Macaca mulatta: one gene and its partner. The protein of the gene in region 2 interacts with the protein of the main gene of each other region in a biochemical or structural test. Links are inferred from orthologs where the notes say so. Each region holds a gene or a part of one and is shown on either strand. Other genes may lie near its edges.

Region 1 (4,285 bases), on a different chromosome or scaffold from region 2:
TGGAAGAACACGGCTCAGGCTGGGTGTGGGGCACCCATCCCTTCTCCCCTTCCCTGCTTATTCAGGGCCCACCCAGGCAGGGAAGTGGGTGGGGGTCCCTCACCCTCTCCGGTGAGCAGGCTGGGCTCCAGCAGCTCTGACATGTACTCGGCCTCCAGCAGCAGCTCAGGAAGGTCACAGTGGGCCAAGACGAGGCTCAGCAGAGGCAGGAACTCGTCAGCACCCGCGTCCTCCCCTGTGGGGACATGGTGAGAGGAAGAAGCTTCAGGTGCAGTCCTTGCTTTAGGCAGTGACCCCTCCCCATGGCCTAGCAACCATGGCAGGGCTTCGGAGACAACGCACTGCTCTCTGGGCCTCAGTTTCGCAATCTGCAAGATGGGAGGGTGGGCTCATTGTCTCCCGCAGGGCCATTCCAGGGTCCTGGGGACCTGCCACTGGGGGTCCCACCTCCAACTCAGAGGGGCAGGGCAGGGTGAGGTGGTGGCAGAGACATACCCTCCTGGGTCCTCAGGGCCATGTAGAGCAGCTTGCAGGCCTGCAGGAGCCGCTTCACCTGGGCGCTGGGTGAGTAGGTGCGGAGCAGCTGCAGCAACTTCTGGCGCACCTGCTCCATCTCTACTGGGGAGGGCAGGCTCAGGTGGGACCCAAAAGCTCCGGGACCCTGGGCCCGGGCCAGGCGGAGGCCCTCAGCTAGGCGGCCCAGGGAGCCGTCTGCGGCAAGCCGGCGCCGCACGCGGGCTGCCAGGATGGGCCGGAGAGGCTTGAGCACAGAGCGATGCAATGACTTCTCCAGGACATGTTCTGCCAGAGGAGGGGCAGGGAGGGGTCAGGGGAAGACTGGGGAGATGGGGGACAGAGGCCAGGGGAGAAGGGAGCAGGGGTAGAATCGGAGAGGAGAGGCAAGGAAAGCAGGAGGAGGTAGCCTGGGTGAGACAGAAGAGTTTGGGGAGAGAGAGGATGGAACTCTCTCGAACAGTGGTAAGACAGGGTGGGTTTGTAAAGCAGCAGAACAGAATCAGACAGGCTGGCGCTGTGGAGGGGAGCAGAGGGTCGGATGGGGCAGTGCTGGAGCTATGGAGAGACGGAGCCTCACCCAGCCTTTTAGGCGGCAGCAGCTTCTCAGGGCCCAGCTCCACGCTCAGCATGGCCCGGGCCCGGCTCAGTGCCTGACGGATGCCCTGCAGCTCCTGGGGCTCAGGCCCGGCCCGCACCTGGGTCAGTAGGTCCTGCACCAGCTGGCCTGCGGCTGTGTGTCGGTCCTGCATCAGTGCCGCCGCGGCCCGGCCCACCTGCCGCTCCGGCGCCAGTAGGGAGCAGAAGGCGGCACTCATGGACCGAAGCAGAGGCCGCCGGCGGCCCAGGTGGGGTGAGGTCGCTGGGCTCCCCCGGGACCCTGGCGCCCCCTCCTCCTCGGAGCTGCTGGGGGAGCCGCAGTCCACCTCCTGGAGGGAGGGCATAGGCGGAAGGCTAGGGTCACCGCCTGCTGGCACGCGGTACCCCACTGAACTCTCCCTCCGCAGCAACTGGCAAGGGGGCAGCCGCTCTGTCTGGCTGGGGACTGCCCCTGGCAACACAGGGACGGGGGGAGGCGGCACGGCAGGTGGAGACAGGGGGCTGGAAGTCTCTGTGGACACGCGCACTTTGAAGCTTCTCTTGAATTTCTCCCGCTTGGTGGGCCCCAGGTCCCCCGGGAACAGGGGGTTGAAGAAGCACAAGGCGGCTCCGGTGCCCTGGTCCAGCTCTTGAGGGGACCGGGCCTTCAGCTGGGGCAACACTGGGCCTCCAGCCGGGCCCCGCTGAGCCTTGATGTTGAGGGAGGAGCTCCAGAACTCTAGGGAACAAGAAACCAACTGGGGCCTCCAGGATTGGTTAGGGGAAGTTTCCCAAGCAAGGAAAGGCATGGGCTTCGGGCCGTGTGCTGCGAGCCTTCCCCTCCCCTCAGCCTCAGCTTTTTCATCTGTGCAATGGGTGGCAAGGAGCTCTTACCAATGCCCAGATGGGAGATGGCCTCCAGCTCTTTGTGGGTGGCTGCACGGTGGATGGCTCTGGGGAGCTGCAGCGGGAGGAGAAGGATGTCCCTGAGGCCAGAGAGGGGAGCAGAAGGGAGTGAGGGCCGAAGGGGGTGGGGAGGATGGGCTGTCCCAAGGAGCAGGGCCCGTGGACACAGGGCACCCTGCAGGCAGACTCACCGGGTGTGGCAGTAGGCACAGATGAGCTGGACTAGGTCTGGGAACATGAGCTCCGAGCCCTCCAAGGAGACGCCTGAGAGAGGAGGGAAGTGAGGTGCTTCTCTAGGGAACCTCCCTCCTTCCAGCCCCTTCCTGCCAGGCCAGCCCCTCACCGCCAGGGCTCTCCAGGATGTAGTGGCTGGAGACGAAGGAGGGGCCGCTGGCTTCGGGCAGTCGCATGCACAGGGCCTGGCACTGTCGGGTGTTAGATTTCCGCACGAGGAACGTCTGCAAGTGGATAGGGCTCAGGCAGCTCAGGACCTTGGCATCCCACCCTTCTCCCTCCCACCCCTGGCTGGCCAGTCCCTGGAGGTTGGGGGCAAGACTCACCCCCGGGGGCTCGGTCCTCAGCACGTGCAGTGCCGCGGCTGCGTTGGCTTGCAGCTGCAGCCACACAGGCCGGGTGAGCAGCAGGCGCTCCCGCAGGCTCACAACGCGTCCCGGCCGCTGTGGCCCGCCTGCCTGCCCGCCGCTGGCATTGGGCACGTCATACAGTGGGTCCTGGGCTGGCCTGAGGGCGGGCATCCAGATCTGAGCAGGGAGCCAGGGGCTGGGACCCTTGCTCTCCTCTTCCCCGCTCCCAGGTTTCCCACCTTCTCCGTCCCCAGATAGACCCTCTTCTCGCAGCCCCTCCCTGCCCCACCTGGCTGCCCTGCCAACTTCACTAACTTTTCTGTCTCCAGGTGCCCAGGAGTGAAGCTGGATGGGCTGGGGGCTCCCGGAGGGCCCGTGCCTGACTCTCCAGGGCTTTCCATGGCTGGGAGCTCCTTCGGCTTCAGGAAGAGAATCCAACCCCAAGGCAAGGCACGCACATCCCCAGTGAGTAACACTTCCTGAGGGCGGTCCGCCTGTCACACCCGCCTGTTAACTCTTGTGTGTCCACCCCGCCTGGCCAGTGCCTGCCTCCTCTGTTCTGGACCCTGCTTCGGGGGTCAGGGATCCCCTCCGTGCTAGCCCTGCTCTGAGGGCCCCAGCTGGGGGGTGCCACCTCCACACAGGGCCTCCTGCAGCCTCACCAGCTCCTCAAATTGCACAGGTGGGCGGGAAGTGGTTAAACGGCCGACTCAGTCCCCGCAGGCCCCAGCCACACTCTGGGGGCACCTCTGGGTCTGTGGTCAGTTGCTCATCTGCCCCTGGCCTCAGGTCAGCCTTGTGGGAGAGCACCCTCTACTGTCCATAGATGACTCATTCCTGAACATGGGTTTTAGGATTTTAGGTTGCCATGGAGAAAATATGCCACGTCTCCATGGAAACCAACCTATTTGCTTAACTGAGGTTCTGGGGGTGGTTCTGACACTCAGCACTAACCAGGGGGAGTCTGGCTGTGAGGTCGTTAGCACATGGTGCTGCTGCCGGCTGCCTCCTACGCATGCAGGCTCTGCCAGCCTGCCTTGCCAATCTGCCAGGCAACTGGGACAGGTGCAGACATGACCCAGGCTTCAAGCACACGCACCCATCCTCCCCACCCGAGGCACTCCGCTGGCACCATATGTTCTCTGCCCAGTGCCAGGCAGCCCAGCACCCACCTCCCCCTCCCCAGTGTGGCCCCACGCACAGTGCTCCAGCCTCTGCTGGGCAGTGCAAGGAGTGGCAATCTGCAGGCACCTCAGAAGTCAGCCTGGTTCAGGTGCTCCCCACAGAAGCCCTGATTCTCTTGCAAGGTAAATCACACATACACGGGGCACACCAGAATCCCAGGAAAGGTTTTAATTCTAGTCCTTGAAATCTGAGAGGCAGACACCAAGAACTGCCCTGAGAAAACCTGGGGGGCCTGGCATCTTGCCTCCAGCCCCAGCCAGGGTGGACAGCCCCCCTAGATATCACGTCTGACTCAGAGTTCCTGCACAGTGGGGCCTGGCTCCCTGGCCCTGAGGCCGGAGAGCCTGCATCCAAGGTCAGCAAGAGGATGTGGCTTTGACTTCAGCTGTCTTCTCTGTCAGGGGAGCCCCAAGAGGCAGATCTTCAGGAGCGGGAGGTGGCAGGCGGCTCAGGGATGGAGAGAGCAGCCTTGCCTGGCCAGGTCGGCTCCACAGCCACAGCTGTGCAGGCCTCGAGGA
Region 2 (4,292 bases):
GGTGCATGATCATCACAAGTCAAAATGTAAATAATTCACTTTTTAAATCCTAAATTTGGGAGCCATCATAACACATGACCATATTGGCTTGCCTAAAAACAAAGCTAAAATAGAATTAATGTTTCAAGGCAAAGTAAAATCCAAGCACCCAGATTTATTTAGATGAAGTGAGTATTTTCTTGTAAGAAAGTAAAACTTCAACCGTCAAATGCAAGTTCATCCAACAGAAGCCTTTGTTGATTGCAGTCACCCAATGTTAAGAAGTATTTCTGAATGAATTTCAAACTATAAGCCACTGGCACACTTGATACGTTTGCTTATAGGATAGGTGGGCTCAATTGATTTTTTAATATAAAGGACACAATCTGAAAAATGGCAGGCTGCAACAGTACAAACAGTAACCCTAATTAATTGGTTATAGACATTAGTGTAAGCCGACCCTTAGCTTTAACTTCACACAGAATTACTGGACATGAACAACATAAAATGTGCTGTCAGCACTCAAATGCCAAATATGTTCATAAAAATGTCAAAGACAACTTTTATTGGCCCAAATGTCACTCTAAACAGGGAGAAGAGAGGATGAAAGCTTCATCAACGAGGAAGGGATTATTACTCCTATGGAAGGTAAGACAGAAGCTGTGTATCTAAAATTAATAAGGAATGCTGCCTCCCCACTTGATTTTTCCCACATGGCTCCAAAGTGAGTATTTTCAAGTCCCACTTATGATGGAAAAGGTCAAGGATATTAGCATCAACCAGTATCTATGATTCTTAACTTTACCAGAAAAACAAACCACTTTGAGAATATGATAAAAGCTCTCTGTAGACAAAGCAGTAAAGAATCCATGCATGTCAGAAGAGCCCTTGACTTCGGTGAGAGCAGAATCATAGAACCATGCATCCTAAGAAACAACTGAAGTCCAGCCCCTCAGGAAACTGAAGCCCTGGAACAGTAAAATGGCTTGTCCAAGGTCAACAGTGAATTCGCAGAGGAAGCAGGCAAGAAATAAGCAACTCAAATAGATTCTGAATAAAGCCGAACTCACGAAGTAACTTTTTCTTATACAAAGTAAGTTTCACCAGAAACTTGAGAGATAACTAAAGTAACAAATGTATTAAGTGGAATTGGAAGGAACTGTCGCAAGTACTATTATTCAAAGTTCCTTGAAGGCCTAAGATGAACGCATGAGGAAAATAATGAGCAGAAATTTTAAAAGCACTCACCATGTTCCACAAAAACATTGCAGTGTGGACCCCCATGCCTCGATGATTCCTTCTTCCCTGCTCCTTTGATAAAATGCAGGGCAGGCAAGCTTGGCCTTCTTTGGTCCCCAAGAACTTTTCCAGGCTGCTGCCCCATAAAGTAATAATGGGTACCCCTTTCCAGAAGAGGGTTCACGATCTTCCAGAACGGTCAGAGAGCGTAGAGGCAAATGGCATATACGCAGGATTTCACATTCGCTGCATCTCCACAAGTCAGCAATTGAAGTCAATCAGAGAAAGACCTCTTCCATAACAAAAGGAAGCACTTTTTTTAGGTTGACACTTGCAAGCAGGAGTTCCAATTATTTTCGCAGTTTATCAATTTTAAGTAATGTAATTGCAGTGTTACCCAAAAGTTTCTTGACTTTTTTTTTTTTTTAACGGGCTGAATAACAATTTCTTTTCAAAAAGAAAAACCTAAGCAGAAATATTCACAGGGGATGCTGAAAAGGGTCAATAATGCTAGTCATTTCAATTCCCACATATAAAGGAAACGCTGATCGTCTTTGGCTACTCCTCCAGAACTTTTCCTGTGGAAGTCACCAACCTCCTATCTTAGCTTCTTCATCTTCCAACAAATTTCCTGCCGAACTAGTGGCCGCTCTCGCTTCTCTGCTCTGCTCTCCGGAAAAGGACACGGGTCACCCAGATTTCAGCGAGTTTGCCCTCGACTCTGACGAAAAGGAATGCATTGCCAGCAACTTTTAAGTCCGCTTTTTAAAAGGCCTGTGGAACCAATCCAGACTTTTCCTTTGCATTAAAGTTTTTGGCTGACCTGAGACTAAGGGGGCCGTAGGTGACATTGGAAGAAGTCAGGGCATTAGAGGCTCGCGGGAGCCACCTTGGGGAAGGGGAGACCCCTTGACAGCAGGGAGGGATTTGAATGAGAGGCTCTGTGGCCAAAGTTGGGGCCGGGATCCGGAACAAGGGGCGGCTCGGGGCTGAGGGAGGCTGCCGGGGCGCGGCACGGGCGGCTTACTCCAGGGCGACGCTCTTCCACGCCTCGGAAAACGGGGTGTCCCAAGCTGAGGGTAACAGACCCCCAGTGTCCCAAAGCCGGGGTGGAGCTGTAAGGGACGAAGGACTCTCGCGGCCCAGACAGCGAAAGGCGGACGCCGTGTAGAGGAGGCCCGGCCGCCTCAGCTGCCCCAAGCCCGGGGGTCTCTGCCTGAGACACCCTCTCCCCCGGCCCCGGACGCTGACACCACCACCGCCCTCAGGCAATCACATCCCCAGAGCTCCGCCGAGGAACCCAGCCGCCCCCCGCCGGTAGGGGCCGTGGACAGCGGAAGGGCTCCTCAGTCGCAGCACCCGGGAACCGGCTCCGGCTCCAGCGCTGCTCAGGCACAGACACCGACCCCCGCGGCCGCCATGATGGATTACGAGCCGCTCCACAACGAGGCCAGGCCCCGCCTTCCGCCCCGCCCACGACGACGTCCGGAGCCCGCCTCAAGGGGACCCGGATGCCCTCAGGGCCGCTTTCCCGGGACACCGCCGCGCGTCCCGGCTCTGGTCCCACTGCCTGCGAAAGCCGGGCCCGGCACGACCTTTTAAATGTGGCTTCTTTGAGCGCAAGGTGAGTGATAAGGAAGCACCCGCCTCCTCTGTATTGTCATTGGCCTCCGAGAATCCGGGTCGGGCCTCTTTCCCCCGTCCCATTGGCCAATGGGGGCAGTAGGGCTGGATCTCCCAGCCAACCGTGTTCGGCGCAGTACGCGGTGCGTCCCGGGAGTTGTGGTCCCACGGCACCCGCGCGAGTCCTCCCGCACCGAGACTCCTGGCCCGGACCCCGACCGCTGGGCCTCGCCCCGCCCTCCTGGGACCTGGTGGACTCTCGCCGGCCGAGCGTCGGCTGGACCGCGTCTCCCCGGCGCGAGTAGTAAGACCGGGACAAAGCGAGGGAAAAACTGCGGATTGGATTTTCCTGGAACCGGAATCGGATGATTTCCTTCAGTCTCTAAGGGAGAAAATGTGGCTTGCTCCTAGAAGCCAAGGTTTTTGGTGCCTCTCAACCCCTTCACCCTCCAAAAAGCATAAATATTAGAACTAGCGGACGGGGCGCGGTGGCCCACGCCTGTAATCCCAGCACTTTGGGAGGTCGAGGCGAGCGGATCACCTGAGGTCGGGAGTTCGAGACCAGCCTGACCAACATGGAGAAACCCCTTCTCTACTGAAAATACAAAATGAGCCGGGCGTGGTGGTGCATGCCTGTAATACCAGCCTCAGGACGTTGAGGCAGGAGAATCGCTTGAACCCAGGAGGCAGAGGTTGCGGTGAGCTGAGATCACACCATTGCACTCTAGCCTGGGCAACAAGAGCAAAACTCCGTCTCAAAAAACAACAACAACAACAACAAAAAAAAACAACTAGCGAAGAAACATACAGAAATAGGGAAAACATCCGACATGTTGCTAACGAATTCAACTATTTATTTGGGCATTAGGAGGCTTACTCATTACAGAAAAGCCATTTGTTGGGTTTGCCAGGCGCTATCAGATGTTTGCCCTGGAACGAATCTTTAAGACTATAAACATTTCACAGGTGAACACGTATTCACATGAAAACATCCTCTATATTAGCTGAGAAAATGCCCAGATGGTTGGGTTTAGCAAGTCTACAGAACCAATGACCTAGATGTGCCAAACCCACACCTGATAGAATCCATGTTCTGCGACTAAAAAGCACCTTGGTTCCTATTGGCTCTCCATGTCTCCCCAGAGGGATGCATCTGACAGGAATCCCATTTCTTTCTTTTTTTTTTTTTTTTTTTTTTTTCAGATGGAGTTTTGCTCTTGTCACCCAGGCTGGGGTGCAGTAGCAGGATTTCAGCTCACTGCAACTTTCACCTCCCGGGTTCAAGCGATTATCCTGCCTCAGCCTCCCAAGTAGATGGGATTACAGGCACGCACCATCACACGTGCCTAATTTTTGTATTTTTAGTAGAGACGGGGTTTTCCCATGTTGTCCAGGCTGGTCTCGAGCTCCTGACCTCAAGCAATCCACCCGCCTCGGCCTCTCAAAGTGGT

Evidence for each region.
Region 1: of the proteins of ABL1 (region 2) and RIN1, one has a biochemical effect on the other in vitro, tested with the Homo sapiens proteins (2 studies listed by BioGRID and IntAct, with this or other methods). The link is inferred for Macaca mulatta from reciprocal best matches to the Homo sapiens genes ABL1 and RIN1.

The regions. Positions count from the first base shown.
Region 1 is NC_133419.1:8,088,065-8,092,349, reverse strand, and holds the start of RIN1 (ras and Rab interactor 1), read right to left. Parts: upstream 3,017-4,285; 5' UTR 2,984-3,016; coding exon 2,898-2,983; exon of another isoform or gene 2,872-2,897; intron 2,740-2,871; coding exon 2,559-2,739; intron 2,457-2,558; coding exon 2,342-2,456; intron 2,263-2,341; coding exon 2,190-2,262; intron 2,079-2,189; coding exon 1,987-2,078; intron 1,832-1,986; coding exon 1,094-1,831; intron 802-1,093; coding exon 496-801; intron 236-495; coding exon 104-235; intron 1-103. UniProt on the Homo sapiens protein: Ras effector protein, which may serve as an inhibitory modulator of neuronal plasticity in aversive memory formation. Can affect Ras signaling at different levels. First, by competing with RAF1 protein for binding to activated Ras.
Region 2 is NC_133420.1:16,869,999-16,874,290, forward strand, and holds the start of ABL1 (tyrosine-protein kinase ABL1), read right to left. Parts: upstream 2,852-4,292; 5' UTR 2,070-2,851; coding exon of another isoform or gene 1,971-2,069; 5' UTR 1,364-1,970; coding exon 1,228-1,363; exon of another isoform or gene 1-1,227. Other genes in the region: uncharacterized protein LOC144335005, read right to left, coding at 1,971-2,069. UniProt on the Homo sapiens protein: Non-receptor tyrosine-protein kinase that plays a role in many key processes linked to cell growth and survival such as cytoskeleton remodeling in response to extracellular stimuli, cell motility and adhesion, receptor endocytosis, autophagy, DNA damage response and apoptosis.